2 linked regions of the Caenorhabditis elegans genome follow. The protein of the gene in region 2 interacts with the protein of the main gene of each other region in a pairwise test. Each region holds a gene or a part of one and is shown on either strand. Other genes may lie near its edges. The genes, in order: F19B6.1 and npl-4.1.

Region 1 (7,150 bases), on a different chromosome or scaffold from region 2:
AAAAACACAATGAACAACATGAAAAAGAGAATGCGTGAATGGATGATGATATTAAAACCGATTCCTGCAACGACAAACGCGCTCCGTTGAACAAAAAAGAAATGGAACAACGAGAAAACCGAATGTCGTGTACAGATTTTTGTGTGGAAACGCGCAAAGATGTAGAGGGAAGAATTTAACCGTCACAAACAACGCGAAAAAACACTAGAAAGAACAGGGTATAAATGAATTATCGAGCTGAATGCCAGAAATCATGAAGAGAAGTCAATAAAATGAAGAACGGAAAAAAAGGACGACAAAAAATGAAATAGCATATAAAATTTCAACAACAAATGGAAACAAAATGTATAGAAGGATGGATATGATGATGGGAAAGAAAGAACATTATGAATAATTATAATTATAATAATAAAGTTAGTGAAAAGGAACAAGAAAGTAGGAATTCATCAGATGAAATGGAAGGAAAACAGAAACTTTGATAAATTATGAAGAAAATTGATCATTTTTGTGATAACAGATGATCACATATCGAATGGCTCGTCCATGTCTTGTTCGAGCCCGGTTCCGTAATATCGATCACCAAAATTGCCCATTCCGGGAATCAGATAGCAATTTTCCGTCATTTGGTGGTCCATTGCGGTGGTGATTAATTTAACCTGAAAATTAATAATTTTTAATTCAAATAAAAAATTGTAAACCTTCGGGAAGGCATAAGCCAGTGCATGTGCACCTTGTTGACCCATAAGCAGAGATGCAACAAATATGTCTTCCTCTTTAACATCATGATCAAGAAGTACACGAATTGCCATCATCGCAGCACTCCCAGTAGTTACGGTGGCGTCCATAATGATAACTTTGTATCGAGTTATGTGTGGTGGCAAACGTATATAATGAAGTTCTGGATCAAACGTCGTCTCGTTGGTTTGAATCAAAATTTTTCCGATCACGCAGTCCTTGACGATTGAGCGAAGAGCAGTCTCCATACATTCGCCGGCTCGCATGATTGGAAGACCACAAATCTGAGCGTCCTTTCGTTTGCCAATAGTTCTGAAATAAAAATTAAAGTTTCTAGATGGTTGAGCCTATTTTAGACGTTTTCAATTGTTTAGTTTTCAAGTTTTATTTAGAAAAAGTTTATTCTTATATTGGAAACAATAGAACATTAATATCCGAATATCCGAAACCAAGATCTGAAACTTTGCAATTCTTAAGCCGAAAATACGGTAGCCGGTCTCGATTCGACAGATTTTTTGCTGAAAGAGCGCCTTTAAAGATTACTGTAATTTTAAATTACTGCAGAATTTTTATTGATTCTTTGTAGTTTTTCTATAAAAATTATTTCTGTATTAAAAAACTTGATTGAAACCATAAACAAAACTTAAAATAAAACAAAAAATCCGCAGTGATAAGAAATTGAAACTACAGTACTATTTCAAGGCGCACACTTTTGTTTAACAAACATTTGTCGTGTCGAGACCGGGTACCGTATTTTTGCAGTCAGATTCAGAAATTTCAGAAAGGTTGGCGCTGATTTCAGATTTCAAAAAGGAATTTTCAAATCTTGCAGTGACCATTTTTCAGTTTCAAATTTACTCACTTTCTACCGCCGGCCATCTCAATCTCAACATCTTTGTAAGGCATATGATTCATGCATTCTTCAATAAGAATACGCATTAATCGATCAGAATAGAAAATATGATTGTCTCTACTCGTTTCTCGATCACGAACAAACGTGACAAGACCTTTGACCTGTGGAGTTTCTTTTAAAATGAACAGGTTTTCCGGCAAACAATCCGGTAGATCGTCGCGAACCAAATCGTGACGATCACGGTTGTTCTGATTGCGATCGTATCCGCGTTCAACGAGCTGTGCCATCACGTTCTGCACGATCATGTCGATGGCGACGTCGTTCTCTCCACCGCGCGGAACGATGAGATCAGCCGAATCCATGCATGGTGCAATGTATTTGTCGAACGCCGGCTGCAACTCGAAAGTTACTTGAGACGACGAGTTACAACAATTCTCTTACTTTTACAAATGTAAAGTACTGCTCCATGATGCCGTCGATGTCACGCCCACGATCAGTGACATCCCGAACGATACGACGAGCTAGACGAAGATCTCCATCCGTGTCGACGAACACTTTCATGTCCATTAAATTCTTGATACGCTCATCATGGAACGCGAGGATTCCTTCGAAAATCAAAACGTCAGCTCCATACATCATCTGAAAAGCAAAATAAAATAATTCCATCTGCAGTTTTTTTCCGAAATTGCTAGTAATTTCACAAGATTCCCATTTTTTCGGAACAAAAAAAAAGGATATTTGTAACAATTTTTACATAAAATTTGAAGAATTCGGCAAACTCGCTAAAAATGAAGTAAGTTAATTGAAAAATGAAAGGAAATCGAACGAGGAAGTGCTGAGACCCATCTGAATGAAAAACAGAATCCTGTGAAATTACGAAATAATAATTATAATTATAGCAAACCTTCGAATTCGGATCTCTTGAATGAGTATTAAAATCATAAACCGGAACATCAACACTCTTTCCCTCACGAAGTCGTTTCAAAACTTCGTAGAGCAAATCAAAGTCAAAAGCATTTGGCCCATCAAAATTATATCTTGATTCATGTGCTGCTTTGATTTCTTCCGGCGTCAGAACTTTATAAAAGCTGTCCATTGAAAGAATCGTGACCCATGGTATTCCGAGTCGTTCGACGATTTTCTCGGCGACAGTAGTTTTCCCACTGGCAGATCCTCCACAAACTCCAATTACGAACGGATGTTTCAGTGACTTTCCCTTCTTGTCATACCATGGTGGACGTCCTTTCGTATATATTTTCTAAAAAATCGAAAATTCGTTTTATTTTTAAGTGGAATTAGAAACCTTACCTTGCCGGTCTTAGTGGTAAGAAGATGATGTTCAGCACGTCCTCCACTCATCGTTCGTCTTCTCGTACGACATCCAGCGGCTCTTGGTGAAGTCGAATCCTCAGAATCTCCACCACTTTGGTTGACCATCTCGTTGACAGACGAACCTGTGCGTTAATAAAACGATTAGGAACGGTAGAAACTAGAAATTGTGTCTAGTAGTTGTTGCGCCCCTCTTTTTCTCACTCTCTCCACCCGATTTAGTCTCGATAGTTTACAAGATAAGCATCTTGAAAAAACAGTCATTCATCAATCTTTGCGCCGCCGGGAGCCTTTGACAGGGGCAGAACCAGTTGATATCCTCAAATTTTTTGTAAAGGGAAATGTCTATTTTATCAACAAGCACTATCAGTTGAAAGAGAATTGTCTCTAAAAAGTGTCAGACGCAATTACAAAGAATGGGGGATTATATTGAGTGAAATGAAGTCAACACGTAGTGAACTCCACCACCGGATGACACACAATATTTGAACAAATGTTACGTGATACAGTCTTCCCTCACCTGAGGAATGACTATACGTGGGACAGTCCTCGATCTTCACGCTTTTTCGGTTGGCATCCCCTTTCGAAGCAGCCACATTAGCATCACGCTTTTCTGCGACCATCCTGAAAATAACATAGAATGTAAGGAATTTCAAGGTAAACAAGGTGATGAGATTACTGCGAGGGCAGACTACTGTTTATGTAAGGTTCCGGGTAAAGAAAAAATGTGACGATGATTATTAGTGACAAATAATTTAGGCCAAGTCAATATAGGTTGAATGATAATCGATTTGTTGATCTTCGAATGATCAATCGGTACAGAAGTTTGTCAAATAAGAAGAAAAACAGGAAACTATTCGAAGACATTGTAAATTTTAGGAAAAGCTTCTAACTCCAGAGAGTGGTGCAATGTTCCGTCGCAGTGTTTGCGGAGTCTTGTTTGAAAAATTGCGCGCGAAAGTTTCAAGTGATAAGAAGCAATCGGTGAATCTAGATTTAAATGTTCCAGCTCGACTTTTTTTCGGCTGGAAGTGCAGTGAGAATATTGTTCAGTATTAATAAAAAAAATTATTTTAGGCCAATGTTGAGCATTTGAACAAACAATTTAGATCTGCTCTGATAAAAACTGTTGCAAAAATTTCTTCATCATTAATTAAAATAAATTAATCATGAAATAAACTTGTTGTTTCTGTTTGATGACAACATAAATTCCAGGTGGATTAAAAATTAAATTTTGTGAAAAAGTGATTTTTTTTTTGAATAGTGAACCATAGAAGACATTGAACTTATCAAATGAAAGGCGAGAAAAAATGGGAAAAATGCGCGAAGATCAGTCAAAAATGGCCTTGTGCCTGTCGTACCGGAGGGACAGTCACAACGAGTGTTTTGATATATATCTGATGGTCTTTGTTGAAAAATTCGGTTCGTTGGGGGCACGCGACACGAGAAGGGACACAGGCAAGAGACGATGGACCGACAAAGAAAAACGGGGTAAAGCTGCTAGCTGAGGCGTAGTGGAAGAAAAGTCTTAGGAGACGCAGACGGTGGTTGGTGGCCGATCAAAATATAGAAAGTGCACGAAAAAACGACGCGGCGGATCCTCAAAGTTAAAGAAACGGAGACGCTTTGAGAAAAGAGAGCCATGGCACGGAGGATGTGTCTGTGCCCCTGTCGATCAGATGATCTATGAATGACCGATAGGAAGAGTCAATGAGCGAACTTTTTTCGAAATTCGCAATTTTTCCCCCTTGGTGAGGGCAGAGAACTTTGATAACTGCACTGACAAAAAAGTGAACACGTCGAACGGGAAGTTCCCGCCCTCGGAATGAATTTTGCAGTTTTTCAATAGAGAGCAGGAATTCAAAAGACATATTAATATTTTTCCATTTTCAACTCGCCACACCACACAAATATATTTTGCAGCTGAAAAAACTAAATAAAAAGGGATTTACAGCAAGAAAAATTAAAAGAGAAAGGAATTTTTATTTAAAAAAAAACATCGAAGGAATAAATTTTGACCGTACCTCGTTGTTCGCTGCAATACCCGACTCCTTCGTTTAGACATGTTCCTTTAAAAGCAGGCCTAGAATTTCTGAAAAAACGTAAAAATATATTTATAAATTAAAGTTTTAGGGCAAAATAAGAATTTCGAAAGAATTCTAAAATTGAATGATGCAAAAAAATAGTCAACCAATTATTTTGATCCCAGTGTCCTGCACCTAAATAAATCGCAACGTGCACTTTTCAAAAGCAAACAATATTTGTGCCGACAGTGGGCAAAAACCTCTACATTGCAGAAAAAAGAGATGATCGGATGACAAAATAACGGAACAAAGGTGAGAGAAAATAAGAGAATGCAAGAAAGTTGTGATAAAAATAGGAACAAACAGTAGATTACCGGGGGAAAATCACTGTCGGACAACTCAAAAACTTTTTTAAAAATATGATAATCTAACTTTTTTGAAGAAAAGGTTATATATGAATGCAGAAAAAAATGTGTTCCATCTGGAAATAATATTTATTTTTGTCAAAGTTTTGAAAAAGATGGCCGACGTTTAACGGCACTTTTAACTGCAAACGACAACTTTCCGACACTAGTTGAGGTCTTTTTTAAAGTTATCAATAAAAAATAAATAATATTTTGAAAGGAAACAAATATTTTTCTACATTTAAATATCAATTTTAGTTTTAAAAAATAAGATTATCATATTGAAATATACAGAATATCGTAATGTTATCGGGCACAATTTTCACTTAAATTCAGCATTTTTTTTATCAGTCAAGCCTGTTAGTGTATATTTACAATAATATTTTTAAATTCAATACATAAATATGTATGTCACAAGTTTAATTGAAAGGAAATGTTTCATGTTTTTTCCCGTAACCTTTCAATAAATTAATCACCCAAGACTTCTACAGTAACCCAAGGAATAGCAATAGAATCGTTATTTAAAAATTGACTTATGAAATCATTGGCGCCATGATTACATGACACTTAACTATATACGTAACCAAGTTCCGCTGATGAGAAAGAGAAATGATGTTATGAAACTCAGTTTCCACCTGAAAATCAGCTGATAAACAACGCGGCAAGACAAACAATCTTTCATCAACACAAAAACTTTTTTTTGCTTCTTCTGTGTTCAAGTTTCAAAGCTTATTAGACACACACCACGTCAAGATTTCATAGATCACAATTGGTAATACGAATTGGATATGGGGATGGTATATGGATCAATGAGTGAAGGTTATGGTTGCCGGTTGCCGAAGATGTTAGACCTCGTGTATTTCAAGCCTGCCTACTTCATGCCTTTTTCTTACCGGTCTAGGTACCTACTGCATGCCTACCTTTGTGACTACCACATTCCTGCTTACACACCTACAGCATGAAGGTTTATATGCCTACCTCATGCTTGCCTACAAACCTACTGTATACCCTATGAATATTATAACCTGTATGAATATTTTTTAGTGATGATATTTAAATTTGAAATAAAGCTTTTTTGAGAATTTTTCTTTTTAACGTGACATTCTGAAAACCTAAACCCCTATTTTTTATTTGTTCTAATGTCAAAGGAGGGGGAAATCATTGAAAATTGATTTATTTCTCAACGAGTGCCTCATTAAGCAATCGGTTTTCGATATTAATTCTAGCGGAAAATCGAAAAAATGGATAGCAAAAGCGAAGAAGCTGGTAAGATTTTCAAGTTTTCTTAACTCTACGATATGAAACGAACCTTTCAGAACCTTTGCTAAAACCTAAAAATGTGGAAGACGAGGGTCTAATTACCTCGCTGGATGTGGACCCCACTCAAAAGTCACGATCTCCAACTCCGAAGCCAACTCCGATCCCGGTTCTTATCAATGATACGGTATGAACCTTACAGACTTTTACACCTGGAATCTTCGATAATTTTTCAGCCAGTAGCGTCTGAAATTGAACAAGTGGAGAAGGAATTGGCACATTCGAGTGAAAGATTCCGAAAACCAAAGACTCTTTCTGTGACAAATGACACTGAGTCAGCTCGAATTCCGTCCCAAGTAAAGACAAATGCGAAGAAATTGGTTTTTCAAAACATTCAGGCAGTTGTTCTCAAAAAGAAAGGTGTTCGTCAGGAGATTCTGAAAAAGATTGATGGAGTTGCAAGACCAGGAGAGCTCACTTTTATTATGGGATCGTCTGGAGCCGGGAAAACTACGTTGTTGAATATTCTGACTGGCAGAAACTTGAAG
Region 2 (4,629 bases):
TGAGCATATCCAACAAAAATTGTCTCCGTGTTGGTTGATGATTGAACAGGTTCTAAAAAATAATATAGAAAAACGGTCTCTTAATTTCAAAAAAACTAAATCAAATAATGTGATAGACTCTCTCAATTGAAATAGATAAAATTGAGAGAGACCGTGGCTATTACATTTGTAAATTAATTTTCTTAAACTCTACTTCTATCTCCAGTGAGCCATACTCGTGAATTGATCGCATTGAATTCTTCTCTTCAATATCACCTTGTCCAATAATTACATCGTCTCGTGAGCACATCTTCTATTAAACAAAATTAGCACTAGGCTAGTTCTCTTCTAAAGTGAGAAATGAGAAGAAATGTGAGTTGTAGAGACGTGTATAATAAAATCCATAAAAATTAAAAATATTGTGAGTTCTTCTGAGATTACGTGAAGGCCGAATAAGAGGTGACGGTGATAATCACAAGAATTTAAAAATAATTTTTCCATAGAACGAATATATAATTGCGTAAATGGTCGTGGTTGCTCAGAATCTCGAGAGACTGTGGCAAATTGTCGAAGTTTTGGCATTTTGCCAAAATTTGGTAAATTGCCAAATCATCGAAAATGTATATTTTCAAAGTGATTTCGAGCAGTTTTGGAAACTTTTACTATAATATTTGAGCACTTGAGAAACCGATTTCAACTATTTCCATACCGTGGAAAAATTATGTTTTAAGTTTTGGCATTCTGCCAAAGTTTTGACATTTTGCCAAAATTTGGTAAATTGCCAATTAGTTCAAGGTGTGTACTTTTAAAGTGATTTTGAACAGTTTTGGAAACTATTACTGTGATATTTTAGCACTTTAGGAACTGATTTTAACTATTTCAATACTGTATAATAATTCTTTCGACAACATTCTCATCGGGCCACATGCGATCACGGAAGAATCTGAAATTAAAAGATAAATAGAAAACAATTTGAGATTATTAAATATTACCTCTCGGTGAGATCTGGAAAAGCTTGATCGTAGAGAGTCAAAATTTCCGGCACATTTTGTTCGTCAACCATGCGGGAAAAGTAGACCAGGTAGTCGGCGACCTCATTTGGAACTCCATCCTCATCGGCTGAAGCTGTTAAAAATTAAGAAATGAGATAAGTTTGTGTTGTTAACAAGCACCTAAATAACTACCATAAATATGTTTATAGAATTACTCTATTGATTGATTATCAATTTTTCTTTTGAAAAGATTTCACAATGCACGATCATTGATCCTCTGATACTCAACTTCTCTCTCGGGCTTTTAAATGATTAACTTCTTATGAACTCTTATGAACACCTTTTCATTTATTATTTCTTTCAAATGAATAAAGCTGTGATTCATTTAATCTGAGATTTGAGGATATTCGACACCGAAAAACACTGAAAATGACAAAAGTAGTCATTTTCATATACAATGAGGGAGTTCTGAGAATTGGCATTGATTCTTCACTGTAACAGTATTTGGAAAATTTGGTTTTTCTGAATTTTATGTATTTTGCTCATGGAATGTTAATCTGCAGTTTTTATGCAAAATTATTTCAGACCAAATTCTCCAAATGTCTGTTTGCCGAATTAAAATAAATCGGTTAATCAAAAAAGGACCGAGTCTTCAGTCTTTTCGAACTGTTTCAAATTTTAACATTTTTCAACTCATTTTACTCTTATTCATCAATTCTGAAAAATAGCATTCTGTGAACTTACAAGAAAAGGTGTTGGTGCGACGACGATCAGAGTGATCTTCAGTGGATAAATCGAATTCCACGCGTCGAGACATTACTGAAAGAAGGTTTTTATATTGATATTATTTAAATGTCAAACTAAATTCGAAAAGGTACGCTAAAATTAAGAGAAAACATTTTTTTAATTGTAAAATTTGATGAAAGGAATTGGAAAATGTGATGGAAAAAAGAAAATTGCAAGCGTTGCATGGGATTTCGCAAGAGTGCCGCACGGTTTTTTGTGTACGCATTTGCTCGTCATTCATGTTGTCTAGGCAGTTTTGATGACATTTTTTATTCTAAAAACAAAATGTTTTATTTCATTTGCTGTTTAATGTTTGAATATGTATGGAAACTAATTTGATACCCTTTCCGCTGCATTATTTTTGCAAAATCTCAAAATTATATATCTTCAATTCACTACCTAGAAGGCATATCTTCCTGCATTTAAAAATCTATTTTATTTCAGATATGGTACTTGAAGTCCCTCAAACTGAGCGTGTCAACGACGTTGATGTTTTTTTAAGCACGCAAGATGGTCAAATTCAGCGTCCAAAAGGGCCCAACTGTCGGCATCCTGTACGTCAAAAGTGCACTAATTGTTTGCCTGTTGATGTAAGTGATATTTTCTGTTGTTTTCATAGAAACTAATATCAATATTTACAGCCATTCGATGAAGAATATTTGAAAGAAAAAGATATCAAGCATATGAGCTTCCATGCACATGTTCGCAAGCTCCTTGGATCCCAGGGGAAGGGCACGACTCTCAAAAAACCGCTGGAAAACTTTCGATGTTCATTAAAACCCAACTGTGATGCTCACAAGCCGTTCCCGAAAGGAATTTGCACTAAATGCAAACCACAGGTTGTAACATTGAATCGTCAAAAGTTTCGTCATGTTGATAACATTCAAATTGAAAATCAAGAGCTTGTAAATCAGTTTTTGGATTATTGGAGACTATCGGGCCATCAGCGTGTTGGATTTTTAATTGGACAGTATCAGCCTCACCTTGAAGTTCCACTAGGAATCAAGGTAAGTTCAGTACTTCATCACTCATTTCTTGAGACGAGTTATTTCATTGCTCATACTTTCAGGCTACAGTGGCTGCAATTTATGAACCTCCACAACACTGCCGTGAAGATGGAATTGAGTTTTTGGAGGATAAAAATCAAAAAACTATTGACAATTTGCTGGAAATGCTTGGCTTGCAACGTGTTGGATGGATCTTCACAGATTGTTGGACAGCTAATAGTGCTGAAGGAACTGTACATTATACACGGCACAAGGTGAGAACAATCTCGAAGAGAAGCCCAAAAAACGAATAATTTTTCAGGATTCCTTCTTCCTATCAGCTGAGGAATGCATCACCGCAGCAATGCTTCAAAATCAACATCCAAACATCACAGAGTACTCGATGGATCGTCACTATGGATCCAAATTTGTGACCGTTGTTGCATCTGGTGATGAATCGATGCATGTTAATTTCCACGGATATCAAGTTTCAAATCAATGTGCGGCCATGGTTGAAGCTGATATTCTCTGTCCAACACTGTACACTCCTGAATTGGCTTATGTTCGAGAGACACCATTATCCGAAGAACATTATATAACTGATGTTCAATTTTCGATGAAAAATGAATACGGAGCCGAGGTTATGAAAAACGGACGACCACTTCCAGTTGAATATTTGCTGGTGGATGTTCCTGCTGGAATGCCAAAAGAGCCTCACTACACGTTCCACGTTGGCACATCTAATAAATCGAAGAGTGCCAAATTTAATGTTGAAAATCGACAAGCAATTGGACAACTTCAAGGAGGTGCAAATTTGATTCAATATTCATCCGAATTCTCTAAAAATCAATTTTTGGAACAGGCTACAAACTTCCACTTTTTGCTCTATTTAGTAACCAATGACCAAGTGCAGATTTCTGATGAATGGATGAAACGATTGTGTGATGCAGTTAAAGCTCAGGACAGAGGAACTGCAATGGAATGGGCTCAGGAATGTGAAGATTGGCATCAGTTGATGGCTTTAGCGCATGCTAATGGAGGAAGCGGCAATGACGGTAAGCTATTATTTTAGTGTGATTAACAACAATTTTGAAAATGATTGCTTCTCCGATTTTACAAAGAATATTTTAATCGATTTCTCATAGTTTCAGATATTCCTGTCATTCCAAATGGTGATCCTTTCTCCGGATCAAGCAGTGGTGGATCAGGAGGAGCTGTGTGGAACTGTGGACACTGTACATTCCAAAATGAAGCAGCAAGACAGGATTGCTCGATGTGTGGATTGCCAGCTGCCGATTAAAAATTCATTTTTCTGCTTTTCTACTAGTGTATTTCTACTGGTATGCTCTGTAAAGTCACCCACAAATGAATTCTTTTCTCCATATTTTTCATGAAGACAAATTAAGAATTAATTCTAAAACAAAAGCAAAGCTTCAGGAGAAATTGAAAAAACGTTAAATACAATTTATGAAATGTTTTCCATTCGTAGAAAGCTATCCATTTTCCATTTTCAATCTTTTTGAATTATCCAGTCTCGTTCGAAGTGCGCATTCAAAATTGTGACGTCTGGCCAACTCACCAGAGATCAGAAAGTATGATTTTGTTTCAAACTTTGAAGTTTTGTATTCTTTATTTTTAAAAACAAAATTTCAAAAGACAAATCTGAACAATTTTTTCTAGAAAGTTGAATTCATTAAAAGTGCAAAGAACAGAGTGGGCGTGGCCAAACGAGACTCCGAATTCCGCTTAGCAGTTTGCAGTGTGATTTCAGTTTCGATCGAAGTTTTGCAGCTTTTTATTCTGAAAATGGATTTTTCTTAAATAAGTGAATTAGTAAATCCAAATTATCCGAAAAATAACGATATTTGTATTCGAACAATATAAGA

What was found.
Region 1: the proteins of npl-4.1 (region 2) and F19B6.1 interact in a two-hybrid assay, tested with the Caenorhabditis elegans proteins (one large-scale study listed by BioGRID).

What each region holds. Positions count from the first base shown.
Region 1 is NC_003282.8:12,331,060-12,338,209, forward strand, and holds F19B6.1 (Uridine kinase), read right to left. Parts: upstream 4,983-7,150; coding exon 4,942-4,982; intron 3,542-4,941; coding exon 3,438-3,541; intron 3,043-3,437; coding exon 2,897-3,042; intron 2,847-2,896; coding exon 2,493-2,846; intron 2,228-2,492; coding exon 2,030-2,227; intron 1,981-2,029; coding exon 1,598-1,980; intron 1,048-1,597; coding exon 699-1,047; intron 657-698; coding exon 522-656; downstream 1-521. Other genes in the region: F19B6.10 (uncharacterized protein), read left to right, coding at 6,134-6,307; wht-5 (ABC transporter domain-containing protein), read left to right, coding at 6,587-6,611, 6,662-6,789, 6,839-7,150.
Region 2 is NC_003280.10:5,629,156-5,633,784, forward strand, and holds npl-4.1 (Nuclear protein localization protein 4 homolog 1), read left to right. Parts: upstream 1-2,195; 5' UTR 2,196-2,203; coding exon 2,204-2,347; intron 2,348-2,398; coding exon 2,399-2,764; intron 2,765-2,826; coding exon 2,827-3,018; intron 3,019-3,065; coding exon 3,066-3,798; intron 3,799-3,888; coding exon 3,889-4,043; 3' UTR 4,044-4,129; downstream 4,130-4,629. Other genes in the region: F59E12.6 (ubiquitinyl hydrolase 1), read right to left, coding at 1-52, 194-289. UniProt on the Caenorhabditis elegans protein: In association with ufd-1 and ATPase cdc-48.1 and/or cdc-48.2, involved in the cytoplasmic elimination of misfolded proteins exported from the ER.